Caenorhabditis elegans: one gene and its partners. The protein of the gene in region 3 interacts with the protein of the main gene of each other region in a biochemical or structural test. Each region holds a gene or a part of one and is shown on either strand. Other genes may lie near its edges.

What was found.
Region 1: of the proteins of kgb-1 (region 3) and vhp-1, one has a biochemical effect on the other in vitro, tested with the Caenorhabditis elegans proteins (one study listed by BioGRID).
Region 2: of the proteins of kgb-1 (region 3) and jun-1, one has a biochemical effect on the other in vitro, tested with the Caenorhabditis elegans proteins (one study listed by BioGRID).
Region 4: of the proteins of kgb-1 (region 3) and glh-1, one has a biochemical effect on the other in vitro, tested with the Caenorhabditis elegans proteins (one study listed by BioGRID).

What each region holds. Positions count from the first base shown.
Region 1 is NC_003280.10:5,321,605-5,326,307, reverse strand, and holds the start of vhp-1 (protein-tyrosine-phosphatase), read right to left. Parts: upstream 3,033-4,703; coding exon 3,024-3,032; intron 1-3,023. UniProt on the Caenorhabditis elegans protein: Acts preferentially on the c-Jun N-terminal kinase (JNK) and p38 MAPKs. Plays an important role in the heavy metal stress response and in axon regeneration by negatively regulating the kgb-1 (JNK-like) and the pmk-1 (p38-type) MAPK signaling pathways.
Region 2 is NC_003280.10:9,111,386-9,116,196, forward strand, and holds the start of jun-1 (Transcription factor jun-1), read left to right. Parts: upstream 1-1,771; 5' UTR 1,772-1,905; coding exon 1,906-2,017; intron 2,018-4,811. UniProt on the Caenorhabditis elegans protein: Transcription factor that recognizes and binds to the AP-1 non-canonical enhancer heptamer motif 5'-TTAGTCA-3'. Required for ovulation. Controls plc-1 expression in the spermatheca to regulate spermathecal valve dilation.
Region 3 is NC_003282.8:405,099-411,569, reverse strand, and holds kgb-1 (GLH-binding kinase 1), read left to right. Parts: upstream 1-1,536; 5' UTR 1,537-1,613; intron 1,614-1,697; exon of another isoform or gene 1,698-1,808; intron 1,809-2,673; 5' UTR 2,674-2,683; coding exon 2,684-2,749; intron 2,750-2,792; coding exon 2,793-2,884; intron 2,885-3,534; coding exon 3,535-3,664; intron 3,665-3,707; coding exon 3,708-3,823; intron 3,824-4,531; coding exon 4,532-4,616; intron 4,617-4,665; coding exon 4,666-4,837; intron 4,838-5,006; coding exon 5,007-5,267; intron 5,268-5,313; coding exon 5,314-5,420; intron 5,421-5,478; coding exon 5,479-5,622; 3' UTR 5,623-5,949; downstream 5,950-6,471. UniProt on the Caenorhabditis elegans protein: Mitogen-activated protein kinase which is an essential component of the JNK pathway composed of mlk-1, mek-1 and kgb-1.
Region 4 is NC_003279.8:6,852,715-6,858,085, reverse strand, and holds glh-1 (ATP-dependent RNA helicase glh-1), read right to left. Parts: upstream 3,609-5,371; 5' UTR 3,275-3,608; coding exon 3,235-3,274; intron 3,178-3,234; coding exon 2,743-3,177; intron 2,700-2,742; coding exon 2,625-2,699; intron 2,577-2,624; coding exon 1,326-2,576; intron 1,278-1,325; coding exon 1,174-1,277; intron 1,128-1,173; coding exon 946-1,127; intron 898-945; coding exon 693-897; 3' UTR 550-692; downstream 1-549. Other genes in the region: sacy-1 (RNA helicase), read right to left, coding at 4,022-4,141, 4,189-4,385, 4,430-4,677, 4,740-4,858, 4,988-5,161, 5,210-5,282, 5,328-5,371. UniProt on the Caenorhabditis elegans protein: Probable ATP-binding RNA helicase. May act redundantly with the P-granule component glh-4 to regulate the formation of the granular structure of P-granules in embryos. Plays a role in positively regulating the localization of pgl-1 to P-granules.

The DNA of each region.
Region 1 (4,703 bases), on a different chromosome or scaffold from region 3:
GTGTGCTTCTCTAGACACTATGAACGAACACTAATCCATTCCTTGAATCTTTTTTCTCCTTCTGAAGACCTCGGCCATCTGTATTGAAATTGGACCCTCCAGCTGTCAGTGCCCTTTTATTGCGAAATTTTCGAAACATTCGGCGAATTGGATATTTCGAAAATTCTAAACAGTTTTAGACCACACATGTATAATGAAATAGCTCTAGAGAATTAAGAATTTTCTACAAAATTAGTCGAAAAAAACCTAGTGAATGAGAGAAAATACGGCAATTTTTTTGATTCTTGAATTTACAATTTGACAATTGTCAAGCATCTCTTAATTTTTCTCAATTTTTTAAAAATTAAGAAGCCATCAAAACATCATAATACATAACATTTCCAAAACCAAAAACTCAAGCGCTAAAATAGTATACGTATGAATTGGAAACTAATTTCTACTGCCTTAACAAAAGTTTGACACACCGAAATATTGCAGGTAGGCTATTCGGAACAAAAAATTAGAATGGAGAAGGTTTTTAACTGAGAATTTTGAAACATTCATATTCAAACAATTTAAATTTAAACAGCGTTTGAATTTTAATAAACATTTCAAGCTTCCATGAAGGCAGAAAAAGCTTACCTGCTTTTGGCAGCAGATAGTCATGGCAAAGTAGATCTGAAAAATTCTCAGACCACTGTTTCAGCTAAATAAAATATTTAAAAATTTACTTAAATTTTTTAAACGGAAAATTATTTGATCGAGCTGGGTAAAAAAGTTTTTACAACAAAAAACCTAAAAAACCTTCAGAATGTTTTTACACCCCTAGATAACCTTAAATTAATTAAAGTCAACAATTTTTGGCCAGGAAAAGAGTTGCTTTGTTCTAAAATAAAAACCACCGACAAGGAAAAATGGCAAAAATGAGAACGCATGGATCGACAACAGAGAGCATCGACTGATTGTATATATTTGCTCGATTCCACTCTAAAATCAACAATTTTTTTCATCTCTCTCACACAAAAATTCCATTCGTATTCACTATTTATAACTTTCCACATTCATAAACATTCACATTTCACCCTTTTTGATCTACAGTTTTTTACTCGTAAAAACATTGGACAAAAAAAGAGAAAAACAAGTTAAAAAGTCGACAGATGGATCTCTGTTGGGGAGTGAATTGAAAAGTTCGTTCGAATTATAAATGGAACAAATTTGAAAAAATAATTTCTGAAAAACAATTTGAAAATAATATTTAAAATTTAAAAAAATCCGATAATATTATGATTTCATATTTCCCATATTTATATTTTTGAAAACAGTTTTTCAAAATAAAAAACCCACTTTTAAAATTCAGATTACACTTTTGCAAGACTTTCAATCACGTCATTGTTTCTTTCGAAAAAATAGTTTCCTTTCTATTTAGCAAGAGAACTAAAAACCTGTTTTCTACAAAAAAGGGGTAATGAATGATGTGTGTAACGTCACTTTTGTTGTAGAAAAACACAATATTTAGGAAAAATTGCAAATTCCCGATGTTTACAGAACCTTTGAACTTTGAAATAGGTCATAAACAAATGAAGATAAGGAAAGAACAAATTGTTTCATAAATATTTTGGGGAAAAGGGTACAGAATGGAAAGCAAAGATTCAAAATGGGAACAAATTAAATTAATTGATTTAAAGGTACATCGGCAGTGAAAAAATATATGTGAATACTCAAATAATAGTCCAACATTATCAAATATCATATTAAATTAAAAACTCCAATAGTTTTTAAACTTTAAAAAATTTTCAGTTGGTAGATGGCCAAATTAACAGCAAAAAAAACGTTTCCAGAGCTATAGAGCAATTTTACAGGTTCCAGCTTCTAGAATGTTCAGATATCAGTTTTTAGAACTCAATTAAAACATGAAACTCGAGAACAATTTTTTGTTTGATTTTCAAAATTATGATACAAAAATTTTCTGAAAGTTTTACCAATTCGCAATTTTTCGGAAATTTTAGGAAATTGGGTGTAAAATGTACAAAACGGCTATTATTGAATTTCTGAAAGATAATTGGTGTTGTTTTTCTAGCTTATTATTTTTTAAAAATTATCATACTAATGTTTTTGGTAGTAATGAAGCTTTCATAATCTCGAACCTCTTTCTAACTTCTGAGTCATTTTCATTTTTCACACTTTTCCTTATAATAATTAGATTCCTTAAATGACATCAAAATATGATTTTGAAGTTCATGTGTTTGCACCGGTCAGCGACTCATACCTTTCTCCCTTATCACTGACATTTTCCAGAGCTCGGCAGAAAACACGCAGCTGATAAGAGACACTATGGAATTGATCATCTGTTCTCTGATATTATAACTTATAGAATACACTTAAAAAGTCTTAATCAATTGAAAAATCATGTTTACATTTGGGGTTATTCATCAAGTACCTACTGGGTACAATGTGCAAAGTTGCAAAAATCATTTAAACAGTGAATCAGAGGAGTGCAGTGTTTTTTGGAGCACTGACTTTTATAGAGTCTTCAAGAAAAACGTCATTATTTGTTTTTATGAGGTGTTCCGTTATCATTTCGCTTGACGACATTTGAATAAGAGCAAAAACTGGTCATAACCTTATACAGTAACCTTTACGGAATTTAAAACTAAATTGTAGTTACAAGGAAAAATTCATTGATACGAAAACAAAATATAGTTTACTAGTTAGATTAAATAAATACAGTTCGGAAAATGAAGAAAATAGATTGAAAATATGAAGATTAATGACATTTACAGTTATACATTTTTCCTAGTTGTGGAGCCTCATCGCCAAAAAACTACACATTTTTACCCATTTTGAAGATCCAATGTAAGTTTCTTGCTGATTGATCCCAAAAAGAGTGCAATCGGTGAAATTAAAAAATAGTGGCTAGATTAAAAATTAAAATCAATTAAAAAAATAACTTCATCACAATAGCTGTTAAAATATCTTTAAGAACACTTTGTAAATTCCTAATTTATAAATTTACCGTTTCAAAATAATAAAATAATAAAGCTCACCTTGAGCATTTTTTCAGTTTTGCTCAACTGATCGGCCGTGAGCTTTGACGACTCCAGCTTGAACTTTTGTTGTTTTAATTTTCAGAAAAAAAGTATTTTCGGACGTTAATCCAACTTGTCACAGGTTGCAATTGATTCCAAGTGTTGAGGATCGTTTGGGGCGCTTTTTTTTTGTCAATAACTGTATTTCAATTACAGAACCAAAAAGGAGATACTAATCTCCTTCTTTAGAGCAAAGACCCAGACGGTACGTCCATTCTGAATTAGGGGGAGGTAACCTGTAAGAATATAACGATGGGAAAGTGAAACGACACAAAAAAGTAGGAGAGAAAATTGAAAAAAAGATAGAAGAGGGGGCAATGACGTGCACTTGTCAACAGAAAAGACGTTGTTGGTTTTTGTATGTACAATAGGACATTAGAAGAAGAAATATTGAAAAACAGGTCGAAAAGAAAACAGATTGATCCAGAGAGTTTTGGGATTGGACATCTATAGAACAAGATAAGTAGATTACAAGGAAAGAAGATGGTTCAAAAATTAAATCCAGACATTTTTGGAAAGTACTGTATTCTCCCTATTAGTCGTGCACCTTCGTGCTCCTCTGACAACTTAGATCTAAGCTCTTGGAGCAATACCAAAAAATAGGCTTGCGATAGTTGAATAGCTAGGGTTTTTAAGATTAAGATTCCTTGCTTTTCGCGATTGCAATGTTCTTATGCAGTTTTTATAAGCTAGTTTTCATACAATTCATGATTGGTGACTTTAACAAAACCGAACTTGCCTGAATGCAAAATTGTAATTATAAATTTTAAGTTAATTCCCTGGTAGAACTGGTTTACAAGATCCTTGTTACTGTTCAGATCCCAACAAGGAAAATTTCTAAAATTTTGCCAAAAAAAGCCTATAGGTCTAATAAATCTAGAGATCACAATAATTAATGTGTATTAAAAATGAAGGGTATGTTATTTTGAAAGTCGTTGTTCATCTCACTTCTTCACAATTGCCTGCGTCATAGGGACACCAGAGAGGAGAGGCGCAGAGTTGTAGAGATACAAATATAGTATTGACCAATAAGAGGTGTAGACAAATCGACCTCAAAACAGTACCCAAAACAGTGGAGAGCGCCAGGAGAGATTGCTGCTGCTGGTGTGGAGAACCGGCCGCGCCGTTACGGTCTCTTTTGTCTCCCTTTCTCTGTACCCCCCCCCCCCCCTCTCTCTCTCTCTCTCTCTCTCTCTCTCTCTCTCTCTCTCTCTCTCTCTTTCATAGTTCTCTTTATAATTCATAGGTACCCTCTTACGAGTGCGCGTCGAACCGGCTGATCACTCACTATTTTTGTGTATAGTTTGTTGTATGACCGTCTCTTACTCTTTCTCTCTCTGTTCACAAATTTCTGTGCCTGTTTGCATCCAGGATCTTTTCACCACCACCACCGTCGTAAAAAATCAGCCCAAAAGCACTGTGGATTTCGCAATGCATGTGGTCAAACAGACAATCTCTTATCATATGCCATCAAAAATCAACGAAACCACAAGCAAAAAGTGACGATTGGAGGAAAATGGAATGATCCCCCCACTATCAGACAATCACTATTACAATTTGAATGAATTTGAAATGGTGTAGAAAACACGAAGATTTGAAAGAGAAGTTTGAACAGAAATAGATTTATATTAAAACTAA
Region 2 (4,811 bases), on a different chromosome or scaffold from region 3:
TTCTGAATTTTTTATTTTCAGCCAGGCGTTTCCCTTTCGACGTAATTTGTTCTCGAAATCACCTGAAATGTGAATGGGTGGGCAGAGGAAACACAAAAAAAGAGAGAATTCAAATTGATTCTGATGTGATGCCATTTCCACTAATCTCTCAATTCTTACTCCCACCATTTTTTTGCAATGATTTCCGAATTTGTGACTGCTTTTTCGTTCCGATTTCATTTTGATGACCGTGTACAAAAAGATGAGCAGACAACCATAACGAACGCGAAATTGTATGGAATCGTGAGAGACATAAGTATGATTAGAGAAAATACGAAGTTATCAATTATGAGTAGATACTACTGTTGATATTGTAAATTGGAAAGTGAATCACAAATCATGACTATTGGAGACCAATGAAACACTTTCAGATTTATGTTCGAAACTTCGTACCCAACTTGGTTCCGAAATTGGCAAAACTTGGCCAATTCCTGGTTCACGAATGTACAATTCAAAAGCCTCTAGATATCAGCACAAATAAGCCAAATAAAACATGAAGTTAGTAATAATAAAAGATAATTAGCATCGATCGTGTTAGGCCGAATGACTATTCTTATGCAAATTACGGTGTTTCTATGAAAAAATTAAGTGCAAGTGCCGAAAAAAATCTACCAATCAAAATTAACTTTGCAAATGCGATACAAATTCCCAAATGCAATGAACTGATATCTACCGTACTTTCCAAATGGTATGGTACACGGTATGTTACCTTGAATAAAACTTGTTTTGATATCTAGACGAGTTGTTTGGTATGCTGAATAACATGGTAAAACAGTTCAAAAAATTAAAAAATGTTTGTAACTGTAGTCAAAATCTGGCTATTACTAATAATATGTTATCACGTATTACAAATATGAAAGATCTAGGACCGAACATGCAAAAATAGTATAAATTACTTTGAAAAAAAACCTTTTTTTTGCATTGTGCCAAAAACAAAACCTCAAACAATTTCAAAAAGAAAATCAAAATATGTTTAGATTTTGTAAAAATGATCTAGAGTATTTCTGGTCTAGTTGAAGTATGTGCAGACAAAATTCTCGAATGTCATAATCGAACACTCCAGAGTAAAATGTTCATTAACAGTTTTAGTAAATTGCCAAATTTTCCAAAAAATGTTTTCTGGTCGACTTCCAAAATTGGATTTACTGAAACATGAGTTTTTATTACTCTCGGTTTTTATTAATTTGAAAAACCGGATCAGAAAGCTTCAAACCCCTGCAAAAAACGTATTATATTTTAGTTATTATTGGGTGCATAAACAAGATCTATGGGTAAAAGACTAATGAGGTCAGGCCTAAAAAGAATGAAAAACAAGATGAGCTCTGAAAAAGCCAATGAACTTCCAAAAAGATAAGTGGCTGATGGAAAGGCAAATACAGAAGTCAAAGGAGCGGAGAGAAATGAGGGAAAAGAGACGGAGAACGTGAAGCAAGCACACTGACACATTATTTACGGTAACATTTTTCTGCGAACTTTATCCATTTCCTCTCTTTCTCTCTCCATTTACCTTTCTAAATGTCAATTGGGTGGTGGAAAGAGAGAATGAAAAATAGAGAGAATGAGAAACTTCTGGATTCTCTCAATTTTCAATGTTTTCTTTCAATGTTCGTTTGTCTATCTGCGTCTATGGATGTCATGGATCTGGAAAATAGAGAGAAAGAGATAGAGATAGAAAAAGAGAGAAAAAGGAAAAGAACGAGTCAGCAGAGGAAAAGAGACAAGAGTGAGTGTGCGTGTGACTCATTCTCGGGGCCCCCGCCGACTAACCCCCATCGCCATCGTCGTCAACCGATTCGTCATCAACTTCTCTTCCTCTCTATTCAATTCTTATTTGTCAAAAGGTTTTGAAATCAAAATAAAACAAAAATGGAAGAGGATCAAGAGGAACCACCATCCTCATCAACATCATCAGAATCTCCAGAAGTTGTTCTAAAAGCTCCAAAAGCTCCAACTCGAAGAAGGAAAAATTCCAAAAAGGGTTAGTTTGTTTGTCTAGTTCAAAAGTTTTGGAATACTTGATGATAAACCTGTCACAATAGGAAATGGACAATCATGGTTACAAAACTATAGTTTCACTACTATCAAAATGCCAAATTACAACTACCAAACATTTGTGATCTCGTGATTTTATCGTTAATTGATGAAGTTGTTTGTCAAAACATTATATCAATTTGTAGATCTATGTTTAATATGAATTCTTTGAACCCATAAAAAGTTTATGACGCGTGCCAAAAAAAACAGGTGGTTGTTAAAATTGTTTTGTATTTTTCTTAAATGATTTGTAAAATTAAATCATATTGTTTCTTACCAAATTGAAAGTTTTTCTATGCAACAATTTCCTTTCAACTGGACATAAAACACTTAAAAATAGAGTAAACGGTATAATCCTGGCTCCGCCCACTTTTATGAATGTTCATCATTACATTTTAATCATCACAAAAACTACGAGCGAGACTCTAATTCGGAGAGAGACGCAGTGATCGAGAAAAAAAAATCGAGTTGACACGTGATTTTCGATTCCAACGACGCAGCTACTGTAGTGATCGAAGCGGCGCACAGCTTTTCCCGCCCGTTCCATCTGGCAACTGTCTGCGTCTCTTCGTCTTATATGGTCTCTTTTCTTCGAACTGTTTTTTGTTGATAAACGCATATGCCTAGTTTAGCGGAAGTGTAGAGGCATTAGGGTTAGGATCTAGGAACTTGAAACTATATATATATATATATTCCTAGACCATATTCTGTAAACTTGGTAAATTTTTTGAACTTTCATTAAACCTAAATTCTTGATTAATATTTAAAATTGCAATTAACGGTAAAACTATGTTTTTTTGGAAAATCTCTACCTCCTACTCTAGCTTGTCCCCTAGCTTTACTTTGAAGATTTGTATTATTCAAATCCTTCAAAAAAAGCTTAAATATATTATGGTATACAAATCCGACAAACCTCATTTCTCTAAAACCTTCATCTAGAAATTTAACATATTTCAAACCCGACATTTTTTCACAAGAACTACCTAATAAATCACCACAATATGTCTCTCCGCCCTCTCTTGGTTTGAGAGCAATATTTCATTGGTTCGACCTGATTGTGCCAAATGATAAGACTAACAGCTGTTCCTTTCGGAAGTTTCATTATTAGCTCATCAGATCATTTTAGTACACTATTTGGGTTTTTTAAGGTTTTGTCGAAATTTATAGTTAGGTATTTTGAAAACGTTCTTCGAAGTCATATTGACAAAAGTACAATACGAAAATACAAAACACACTATAAGTACAGAAAATTCAAGCAAAAGTTCAAACAATGCTATTTTAAAATTGATTTTGAACGATCGAATGCTATAAAAAATCTAAAATGATCTTACAAATGGCTTATCCCGGCCCTTCGCTTCTCTATTTTACGTCGAATTTCTCGTTATCAAGATTTTTGCAAAGAAGATGTTTAAAAGTTTGTCTTGAAATTTTTTTTAGCTACGTGAGCTGAACTAATTTTCGATGCGTTTATTCTCGAACTTTGGTTTCTTAATTTCCATTTTATCCAGACATATTTTGTTCATTCGTTCTATCCGTTCCCATTCATTTCTTGGAATGAGTCATCGGGCTTTCGTAAATGTTTTGACACACACTTTGCCCCTTTTTTCCTTCCCATCTTTCAGTTTTTAGGCTCTGATTTCTGTTCCATAACATGCATGGGTAATGAGATGAAAGAGGCTATGGCAACTCTTGCGAAACAGTCATATGTTTGATGAAATATTCAGGCGAATCTCTGTTAGTATTTGTTCTCATTTTCTGCAGAAGTTGTTTCAATTTTAGAATGGAACCTGTAGGTAGTTAGTCATTTTGAACTCAGTTTTAGCTAGGTTACCCATAGTAGATCTATCTAGAGAGGTGCATCCTCAGGATCCACTGCCTGCCTCAAACCTACCCGCCCCTCCTGGCTTCATATTTTTGATTCAACGATGTTTGGCGCTCGAATTGTGTTAACTCATGAGTTATTAATATTTCTAGGCACAAGGCAGGCAAGGGTTGCCGTGAAGGCAAGCCAAGTTCCGATGAGGCGCATGAAGCCCTAGTTTCAGCCAATTCCCATCAAACCTGACACTAATCTTTAAAGAACATATTCATGACGTTCTGCTCGTGGAAGACTGATCTGCTCTAATATTTTCTTTTTGATGTTTATCTCTGAGCTTTTCTGGTTCTCTAGTTTCATCTACATTTTCTGTTAGAGAACATCTGAGAATCTTTTTCTTCTTCTCTTTTTTTCACTTTTTCTATTTTCCCACCATCATAAACACAAATTAAAGAACGTGCTTGGATGGAGCATTATGAAAGTTTTTCACTTTCCTTTTTCGTGTCGCGTATTCAAAAACTTTAAACAACATTTCCCACCAACTTTTTCTGCTAATCAGCGTAGTTCCAAGAACATCGTTAACATGTTTTGTTAATCAAATCTAACACGCGTTTCATGATCAATTGATGTTTGTGTTATGAAGTTATCTGAAACATTTTTCTTCATATATATTGAATCTATTTTTTTGTTATGCTTTTCTCGATTCCCGCCAATTTAGGATATATTCTTGTTGGAATTGTACTTCCTAAATGTGCTGATATTTTGGAAAACAATTATTTTCCGGGTCTTTTGATTTGATCTATGATTTTGCAGTGGCTGAATTTTAAATAATTATCAAAGAAATCATAGTTTTTGTAAATATACCTAAAGAACATAACCGTATTTTAATATGGAATTGATCAGAAAATAATCAATCAGTTGTTTC
Region 3 (6,471 bases):
AGAAAATGTATGAAATTTTTCTAATTTTTTAATGATTTTTTTCTTAATTTTACAAAAATTTAAAAAAAAGGACTGAATTAAATTTGAACTCCCGCGCAAATGAGTGACGTCATTTTCGAAACTTTTGCGTTTTCAGCCTATATTAATAGGTTTTTCTTCATTTTTCCTTTGTTTTATAATTTGAAATACAGTCTGTCAATTTTTCAGACTAAAAGAAAATGTATGATTAATTTTGAATAATTAAGCCAATTTCAGAGTTTCGGTAAGTTTCTTCGCAATTATCAAGTTTGAAAAATGTTTGAAAAATTGAAAAATTATGTTTCAAATTATAAAACTAATTGTAAGAATAAAGAAAAACCAATTAGTTTGGCCGTAAAACACAAAATGTCGAGAATGACGCCATTAATTTGTGCGAGAATTCAAATTTAAATCGGCCTTTTTGAAAAAATCATAAAAAATTTATTATTATTTTTTGATTTTTTAACAGTTATATTTGGTAAATTGGGACTGTATTCTGTCATTTATGGCAAAAAAACCACTACTTCACCTTATAATTTAAAATTATCCAACTCACTATCTCTGTGTTTCATTTTAGCATCGAGTTATCACTTCCGATGACTAACAAATGGGAAATCTAAGGAATAATGCAGAGATTGAAAAGAATTAGAGAAACAAACAGACAAAATCAAGTATTATTTAACAATTGTAAAGAACAACCAAAAAACCCCACAGGAAAGACCACACAGAATGTGGACCCACGACTTTGGGAGATTAGGCACCTACGAGATTTCATGGCCCAAGTTAATTGGGTAGCGCTTTGAGTTGTCATAAATGTTAATAATTGAGAAAAAGATATTTAAAACTTAAAACGTACATATTAAACTTATTTCTTATAGAATTTACTTTCAAAGCTTTTATTATAGGCGGTCGATTTGTTCTACGGCAACTCTATTCTCCAAAACAGAGTGGTGTCTCTTTTCTGTCTGATTCTCTACTTCTCTACACATTTTCAATCCTAGGTGTGTCTCTCTCTGAAGGATGAAATCTCTATTTCTCTGCATCTCCTATTTGGCTTCAGCCTATCGCTTCTCTTCCGCACACAAACATTCACTCAGTGACGTAACTTTTAATACCTACACTATTTCTCTCTTTCGCATTGTCAACTTATATATATATATATGTATATAGATCATTCCTGTACTATTTAATTTTTAATTATAACTTTTTAAAAAGGTTATTTATGATTTAAAAAAAACAAAATCTAAAGTGTCTTTAAAGTGTAAAAGTAAAAATTGGCAGGCTGGGTATACTGCCTTTTTTCTTCAAGTTTTCGAATCTAAGTAAAAATAAAAAATTTCCCCTGCTTTTTTAATACAATTTTAGTTTGAATTTTACTTGTTGAGAATAATAGACTTCAATTATCTCGATGCAGTATTATGTATTTCACTAATAATTAACAGCAAATACCTCAAAATTACCCCGAACTCGAACTATTGCTAGAATAAACCATTCGAGTAACCCGTGTATTTATTGTAGAGTTCGTGAGAAAAGGATTAAAGGATTAAAGGACGATCCGTTCTTCAAGCGCTATGCACTGCGGATCTGGGAGTCAGGTACACTGCCTGGTGGTGATCCCACTAAAAAAGTAATTAGAGTATTATAGAAAAAATACGATCGCCCAAAAATAAACAACGGCGCAACGACACTCCGCTGTTTCTGAGACCCGCCCACGATTTCATTTGCACTGCGGCCGACACATTTCAGTGCAAATGAAATCTTGGGCGGGGTTTAGAAACGGTGGAGTGTCATTGCGTCGTTGTTTATTTTTGTACGATCGTATTTTTTCTATAATAAAGGTTTAAAAAAAAGAAACACACTATTGGATGTTACATTCCAGTCAACTTGATACCTAAAATATTTAAATTTTCCATTGAAATTAGTGTTGACTTTTGTTTCCTAAATACGAACATCCTTTCAAAACCAAGCGCAAAAAGTGTAAGATCATTCACAACTGAAGTCAAATTTTTGAAGTGTGAACATTTTTTGCGTCATGCAAATATGAAATATGAGTTTATGAGTCGATTAAAAAACATAAAAACCCAAACAAAAACGCTGAAATTTCATTAAATGTTAAAAAATGACTTCTTTATTACAAATCCAAAGTTATGATTAAACATTTAAAGATTAGCTGCAAAGATTATTTATTAAACTACATATCTTTCTATTTTTAGTCTATTTTTTAAACATTGTCAGGTTTAGTTTGCACTTCAAAAAATGAAAACTGTATTTCACTAACAATATGTACATATATCCCCTCCCTCATTTTTTTTCACTCCAGAAATGGAAAGTCAATATTTGGAAAGAAAATAATTTTCCAAACTGTTAGAATCTCCGTTTTTAAGATTTATTGATTTCTACGTGGGTTGAAATGACTCAGTTTTGATGAAACTCAACAATTTTAAGGCATTTTTATCAGTTCCGGTTGGAAAGGAAAATCAGAAACATTTTTGCAAGTGATAAGAATTATGAAATTTTTATAGATTTTTTCAAACGTTTATTTGGAAATTGAAATTATACTTTTAAAAATTTAAGAAAAGCTGAAATTTAATGACTAACGTTTATATTTAATTTTTGAATTTTAAGTATTTCTCCCTGAAACTAATAACTTTTTAGGCACAATAAGATGGAAGTGGATCTGCCGGTACATAACGAGTATGATGCGTCTAGATTTCATCAAGTTACAATTAGGGTTTGTTACTAGATACTTTACCTCCATTCAAATTCATTTTCAGGACCCGATAGCCGGCGCGGACAGCACTTTCACTATTCCAACTCGTTATGTAAACCTTAGTTTTCTGAATGCCGGCGCCCAAGGAACTGTCGTGTGAGTTTTTACTAATTACATTAATATTTTATTGAAGGAAAAATAATAGGGCGAATTTTTTAACGCAGTAAACAAAAAATTTCAATAGACAAACAAATATTAACACTTCAAAGATGTTAATCAAAGATTTGATAGATTGCCAAATTTTCGAATAATTTTTACTTTTTCAAACATTTCACACTTTACTGCAAATTATAGCCCCAATAATGTTCAAATACCAAAAGATAAAATAAATTTTTTGAAAGAACTATGAATTTTAGTCATTTTAGAAACATATGGCTGGTTTCAGAGAATCCTTTCTCTGGTCGTACTCCATCTTTGAATGTCTCACTGCCTTTCAATTGTATATTTTTACACTTTAACTTTTCTTCGGTTTTGCGTAATTTCAAACACTGACACAATGATGACTTCCCGAAAAAAAACGGACCGCCCTATCAAAAAACTTTTAAAACAGGTAGAGGTCTCGAGATCATTGTTATTCGTCATTGCCCGCTGCTCCACCTCTAAGATTGAAAAAGCTTGAAAAAATCAATAATCAAGAAGATCTTCTAGAAGAATGAAAGTGACTGAAATTAAATTATCGCGCAAATGACTTCAAACAGAATTTCTAAGTTAAGTGAACAGCCATAATTTTTATTGATTACATTTAGAATGGCCGATGACCTAGTAACAACGCAACGTGTGGCAATCAAGAAGATGCAACAACCATTTGTGATGACAATGAGCGCAAAGCGAGCATATCGAGAGTTTATACTGCTAACGACTATCAAACACCCAAATGTAAGATTCAGTTGGAATCTAGAAAAAATGCTCCAAATTTCAGATAATCCGTCTACTAAACGCGTTTACACCGGACACTTCACTTTCAACGTTCCGAGAAGTATATCTAGTTATGGAATTAATGACACACAATTTGCACGAGGTTATACATCGATTAAGGTAAGAGACATGGTGGCTGATTTTTATGATTTTTTTTCAGTAATACCAATTTTTATAGTAATATCTAGTATACTAGACGTAATTTAAACTGTATATGATGGACTTGTTAGAGACTAATAGACGTAAAATATTATTTTTCTGTTATTGATTTTGAGAACAAAAGAATAAAAATAAAACAATAGGAAAAGCACGATATCTTAAAGAAGGAGTGGCGGATTCATTTTTGCTCTAATAAACTCAGAACGACTCCAAAATATCAACCTTTTTTGTCTCAATTTCACGTTTAATAAACATATTCAACAATAATAATAAGTTTATTGCTGACACTTTTCAACAAAAAAAACTTTTAAAAAAAGAAAGAAACAAGGGCAAAAGCTAGACTTTCAATTTTGCCGTCTTTCGCGTTTCCCAAGGTCGGAAATACATTTTTATCCAACCTTGAGTACCCACTTGGAAATGTGCCGAAACCATCATCAAAACACGCACAGTTAGCTACCAGAACACGCGTAAAAAAATAAAAAAAATATTCCAGCGTGTTTTGAAAATTTTTGGTCAAGATTTTAGTTAACTACCAAAAATCAGAATTTTTAAAAAAGTTTAGAACACTTGCACATTTGAGCTCCTATTCATGATTGTTCAATGATTCAATGATTGAATATTGAATATAAACACATAATTAGATTCTAAAAAAATTTTCTGAATTATTAGATTGGACCATAAAACATTATCATTCTTCGTCTACCAGAGTTTGTGCGCAATCAAGCATCTTCACAATTCGGGAGTCATTCATCGTGTACGTATCTACCACTATAGACAACATTCTGAAAAATTCAAAGTTTCAGGACTTAAAACCATCGAATATTGTCGTCAACGATCGATGTGTATTAAAAGTTTTAGACTTTGGATTGGCCCGGAAGAAGAATGTGGACACATCGATGAGAATGTCAGATTATGTGGTGACAAGATACTACAGAGCCCCCGAAGTTATATTAGGTCTTCCCTATTCGGAAAAAGGTTTGTTCGAAAAAAAAAAAAATTTTTGTAATTTTGGGCTGGACTTCCATCTGCGCTCCGGTGAGCCGCCTCAAACAGCCTCACGCCGTACGTATCCGCATGTAAAGTGCGCGTAAAACCCCAAACGTGTCGGCCGCTTCCAAACAACACTCTCAATTCATAATTGCAGTAGATATTTGGTCAGTCGGATGTATATTTGCTGAAATGATCAACCATACCGTACTTTTCCCTGGAAAAGATCGAATTGATCAATGGACTAAAATTTATAGTGTTTTGGGAACACCAGATGATCATTTCATTAGTCAATTGGGTCAGTCAGCTGCTATGTATGTTCGATCGTTGCCACGTCATCAGGCACGAGCATTCAGTGAAATCGTTCCTGATACCAATTTTCTGCCGGAGACTGAAAATCCAAGGGTCCATTTGACACGTGAGTCAGGCTATACAGGATTTTGAAAAATAAATCATATTTTCAGCACACGTGGCTCGTGATCTCCTGTTCAATATGTTGAAAATCAATCCTGAAGAAAGGTATTCAGTTGAAGATGCACTGAATCATCCATATGTTAAGTTGTGGTTTAAGGTACAACAATTTTAGCACTAAACAAAAACAATCAAATCATGCATCTCAAATCTTACAGGACGATGAGGTAAACGCCCCCGCATCAGAAAATCGATACGATCAGGAAATTGATTTTGCCGATAAGACACTTATTGAATGGAAAGAGCTAATTTTCAACGAAGTGCAACGCTATCAAGCCGACCACGACATTTTCACTGGATAATAAATAATAAAAAACCTAAAATTGTTTCTTTTTCTCTCAAAAATAATTGTGTTACTTTTTTCTTCAAAAATCTATCTTTCAGTTGTGTTCTGTCACTTAGTTGGCCATATTTTCTGGTGATTCTCTGCTTATTTTCTATATTGATTATAATCACTAAATGTTAATTATTTTGGAATACAGATTTTTTGGAACTGTTTTGTTTTAAGTATAAGAAATTGAACCTTAGCTCCACAAAATTTGCATCTCATTATAAAGTAGGGATTGTTTTTCGATTGTATTGTCAGGTTTAAATTCAAAATTCTAAATCAATAAATTAATTTTTTAGGGACCAGGTCCCCTATGAGGTCGCCACAGCGGCGCCCGCGCCGGCCTCACAGCGTCAATCACAGTGCATGTATCCGAATATATAGTGCGGCAGGGAACCCGATCGTGAAGTCCGCGCCTCACTTAGCTGGGAGACCTATAGGTTTTTTTTCTTCAAAACGATGCTTTAATTTTTGTTCTCAAAAACAAAATGAAGCCAAAATGGGAATCCAGAACGACCGGACATTAAATCACACAGATGGACAATGGTGGTCTTGAATAAGTACATTTATTTCACAAAAATTGAACATTCAGTAAAAGATGAGGTTTGAAGACTGAAAAGTGGGCTGGACAACAGAAAATCGACTTTTGGGTAGTAAAAGATTTTTGATATAAAGATGGGAAATAAAGTATATGGACATTTGGACAAAAAGAGAAACAGAGACGCCTTGAAATGTTTTCAAATGATTCTTTTAGTATTCTATTCTAGAATTAAGAAAAGCGGATGGAAAATATTTTTTTGGAATCTTGATATTTTGTAAGTTT
Region 4 (5,371 bases), on a different chromosome or scaffold from region 3:
TAGGAGCTGAAAACATTTTCGCAAAAAATTGTATGTTACAGTACCCCTCTCGCAGTGGGACCCCACCACGTGCTACTGAGAATACACCTTACTACAGTATTACTAAAAATATATTTGAAGAAATTGATAGACAAGCACACAGGAAATGCCACAGCGAAACAGAAACTAAGCATCATCTCTTCCTCTTTTCCCTAATACTCTTCTTCTCAAACTCTATTTCCTGATTGTGATCACTGAGCAAACCGTAAATGGAATGGCAAAGCCAACAGAAAAAATACGGGAGCAAAAAAGCAGGTGAGAGGAAAGCGAAAAAACGAATGTAAATCGACCGGAAATGAGCGAGTGAGAGAAGAGCAAAAAAGAAAATAAATAAAGAATTGAGCCTAAAGTTTCTGTATGCGGAAAAATGCTCGCCGCGGAGAATCGGAAAACAAATTATTGAAGTTGATTAGCTGAGAGAGCAATGTGATATGAGATCATATTGCCTAGTTTGCTTGTTAAAATTCTTTTCATTTAATATGCAACTAATAGTTGAAGTCGTGAACAGCATGATATTGAACAGAGTTTATGCGGCGAGGACTATAACGACAACCAACACCAACAAATACAATTAAAAATCAACAAGGGCAGGATAAAATATGGGGGAACTGACAGCATTAATAAATGCGAAACACTATCAATTGGTCGGTTTTCTACCAGCCTTCTTCATCTTGAGGGACTTGAGTTGGTACACTGGACCCAAATCCACTAGCTCCGTAATTGCCTCCAGCAGCACCTTGCATCCAGTCTGGAACAATCTGTTGTGCGTCGGCGAGAACACCAACAAGTTCGGACAGAAGACTGCAATCCTCCGAGATGAAGCTTGTAGCTCTTCCAGAGTTTCCAACTCTTCCAGTTCTGAAAACAATGCTTGCATTATTGAAACATTAATAAAATATAACTGACCTTCCGATACGATGGATATAGTCATCAATGTTGTCTGGCATGTCATAGTTGATGACATGATCCACTCCTTTGATATCAAGTCCACGTTCAGCGACCGCAGTAGCAATAAGAACAGGTTTCGATCCATTTCGGAATTGTCTCAAAGCTTCTGAACGCTCTCTCTGCTCACGGGCACCATGGATCTGTACATTTTGAATTAAAAAGCGGTCAAAAATGAAATATACCAACCGTGATAGCTGGAACTTGAGCCGATGACAAAATTGAAGCCAGTGTATCAGCCATTGCTCTTTGAGAAACGAAGACCATGGTTTTCTTTGTGTAAACTTCGGCACCTGAAATATTGAAATTTATTTCATCAAATAAGAAAACGAAAAACTCACTTTTCTCGGTCGTGTAACTGTCGATATCGATTCCCAGAAGCTCTAGAAGTTTGTCCTTCTTCTCGCTTCTTTCGCATCTCTCGAATTCCTGTAGGACGCACTTGTTTGCAGCTCCAATCTTGTCGATTGCAATCATCACGTAGTTTTCTCTGAGAAAAGCGCGAGCTGCTTCCTGTACAGAATCGGGGAAAGTGGCACTGAACATGAGTGTCTGGCGATTTTCTTTCCTCGGCATACTGTCATAATTGACAATAGTTTCGATGTCAGTTCCGAATCCCATAGCATCGATCATACGATCAGCCTCGTCAAGAACAAAGAAGCGGCATTTGTCAAGCTTGATGGTACCCTCTTCACAGAAGTGCTTGATTCTTCCGACAGTTCCGACAATGATCGTGGCTCCCTTTTCGATCTGACCCTTATTATAACCGACAGCCAATCCTCCGTAAACTGGTTTGATCTCCATCATTGTTTGATAAGCAAACTTTCTTCCCTCGTTGTAAATTTGATCAGCGAGTTCGCGAGTTGGAGTCAAGATGATGCAACGGGGATAGCAACCGCCTTCTCCGGCAGTGTTCAGATTATTATCGTCAATGAGACGAGTCATGATAGGCAGAAGGAATGCAGCGGTTTTTCCTGATCCAGTTTGAGCACAAGCCATGATATCATATCCCTGATGAACAAGTGGAAGAGCATATTGCTGAATTGGAGTGGTCTTGGAGTATCCAGCATGAGCAACGTTTTTCTGCATGGTCTCCGTGAGATTAGCTTCCGCGAATGTCTTGCAAGGTTTGATACCGACAGTCTTCTCGGATGAAGTCAGTTTAACTTCGGCATCGAAAAACTTGTTGAACATAAGGCCTTCCGAAATTTTCTGCATGTTGAAAACGTCCTCCATGTTGTCTTCGACTGGCACGTATGTCGCCTTAGGTCCTTCTCCTTCAACACCTTCCCTTGGCTTGGCTGGATTGGGGCACTCATTCGAGCGATGACCTTGCTCGCCACAATTGAAACATCCACGGGGTGGCTCCGGACATTCAGCAGAGCGATGTCCCTCGCCTTTACAGTTGAAACATTTCATTGGACCACGTTCTTCGCCTCCACCAAAACCACCGTCCCCACCGAAACCGTCATTTCCTCCATTGTTTCCAAATCCAGCTCCGCCCCCGAATCCACCAGTGCGACCCTCACGCGGCTTGCGTTCTTCTGTACATTCACGAGAGGTGTGCCCGGGTTGCTGGCAATTGTAGCACACTGAAAATAAAACAAATTACTGCCAATAAAGTTATATCAAAATAAAACCTCTCGGCTCTCTTTCCTTTCTCGGCTCTGGACAGTCACTCGATCGATGTCCTGGCTGTTGGCAATTGAAACAATCTGAAACAAACGTAATTATATAAAGTCAATTTAAAAAACGAACTATTGTTTCTCTCTCCGCCGCCATGTCCTCCTTCCCCAAAACCAGAGTTGCCACCTCCAAAGGATCCTCCTCCACTTCCGAATCCAGTTGCACTACCTCCAAAGCCACCTGATCCTCCAAATGCACTTGATTTTTCACCGCTTCCAAATCCAGATGTGGCAGTACTACCACCGAATCCAGAACTGGCTCCTCCATACGGCGATCCTCCTGTACTGCCTCCACCGAAGCCGGATCCACAAGTATTTCCACCTCCAAATCCAGAACCGCCAGTCTTTCCTCCACCGAATCCAGATCCGCCAGTGTTTCCTCCACCGAATCCAGATCCGCCAGTGTTTCCTCCACCGAATCCAGTACCTCCATTTTTACCACCACCAAACCCAGATCCTCCATTGTTACCACCACCGAAACCGCCTCCACTACCGAATCCAGTTTTGGCTGAAATAAAGTTTTTAATCAAAATAAAACCGGTGGAAAGTTCAAAATAAAACTCACCCTTAGCAGCACTTTCGCTATCACTCCAACCATCAGACATTTTCGCAGAAAATTAAGATTTTTCCAGAAAATTGAGTTGAAAACAGCAAAAAGAATTAGGAACTGTCCCAAAATTTAGTAGATGAGTGTGTCGAGGTTACTGTAGTTGGGGCGCGTGGCGAAACCTAAACGGTGTGAAAGTCTGTGTTCCTTTAAAGAATCGACTCTTTAAGAGGCACCACGGTTTCAAGATCTGATGGGATTCCGGATCTACGTTTTCCGGATCTACCATTTCCGGATCTACGTTTTCCGGATCTACGTTTTCCGGATCTACGTTTTCCGGATCTGGCACCGTGCCAACGCACAAAACGCTTTTCAACGCACGACTTTTTTCGAAATTTTCTTCTAGAAGAAACGCTTAACAACACGCGACGCGTAACATCGGAGCGTCGTTGTCACTTTTTTCTTCGAAAAAATAGCGTTTTAAGAGTTTGCACGGTGCCAGATCCGGAAAACGTAGATCCGGAAAACGTAGATCCGGAAATGGTAGATCCGGAAAACGTAGATCCGGACTCCCATCAGATCTTGAAACCGTGGTGTCTCCTTTAAAAAAAAGAATTTTGAGAATGCATTTAATTCATTTTTCTTTTTCAATGAACTCGATCAATTAATTATTTTCATGTTTTCTCGGAAATCCAGACTTTTTTTAAACATGAAATAAATAGTACAATTCTGACAAATATTTTTATAAATGTAAACAAGAAAACAGTAAATAAATAGATTGAGATACAATGTATGAATAAAATAATCAGAAACCACCATCGTCGCCTCCACCTCTTGCCAATGCTTGCGTCGTTTTGTTTCCGATTCCAGCGAGTTTTGGACAATCTGTGATGCGATGACCCAGACCGGAGCAGTATGCGCATCCCTGAAAACATGTTGAACTTCCCGATTTTCTAAATGTTTTCTAACTACCTTTTCCGCATTTGTGCCAGCTGGAGCAGTTCCCTCCTCGTCACCAGCCAACATTTTGAGAAATTCTGGAAGTTCCTGCCCTGCTTCTGCGAGTAATTGTTTCAAGTCGGAAAGCACTGACATCTCCGATTTTTTGTTGATAAATGTCGTTGCGAGACCTTTCCGTCCGGAACGTCCGGTACGACCAATTCGATGAACTGAAAATAAAAATTCAATTATGAAAAATAAATAAGAAATTCACCATAGTTCTCAATATCTTCAGGCATGTCAAAATTGATAACATGTTCAATTCCTTGGAAATCGAGTCCTTTTGATGCAACATCTGTTGCCACAAGTACATCTTTCTCATTTTTTCGGAATGCCTCAATTCCAGCATGACGGTCACTTTGATCTTTTCCTCCGTGAATTGAAGCAACTTCAACTCCTTTTACAAGCAAGTACTCGTAGATATTGTCAACGTCAACTTTCTTTTCGGCAAAAATCAAAACTCTGAAATATAAAACCGTTGCCATATTTCTAAATTAATTATTTTCTGATAAATAAAATCTTACTTGGGAGAAGTCTTTTGAAGGCATTCAAGTACACGAACCAATTTGTTTTCTGATCGAACAAACTCAAGCTCCTGGAGTACGTTCAATGAAGCAGCACCCGCACGTCCAACATTTACGACCTAAAATATTTATAATTTACAGACAAACTCCTGAAAAATTATTCTTTAAGAATTGAAGAATGACAACTTTTGGGAGTAGGTTAAAAAATTATATTTTTGAAACTTCTCGATTGCATAAATAAAACTTACAATAGGTTTGACCAGTGCTGATTTTGCGAAAAATTGAATCTTTCGTGGCATCGTAGCCGAGAAAAGGAGAGTTTGCCGTTGAGCTTTGAAGAAATAGAAAATTGATTTAATTTCATCTTCAAATCCCATATCAAGCATTCGATCAGCTTCATCTAGAACTAAGTAACGGCAAACCTGTAATAAATTGAAGCAATTTTTGAAATCTTTGAAGTTATGTCTTACTTCTAAATTTATAATTTTCTTGGTAAGCATATCAGATAGTCGTCCTGGTGTCGCAACAACAATATGAATACCACTGAAAATAATGAAAATCATAAAATTCGAAATTCTAATCACTCACTCTCTAACGTCTTTAGCTTGTTCGCCAATTGGGACTCCTCCAAT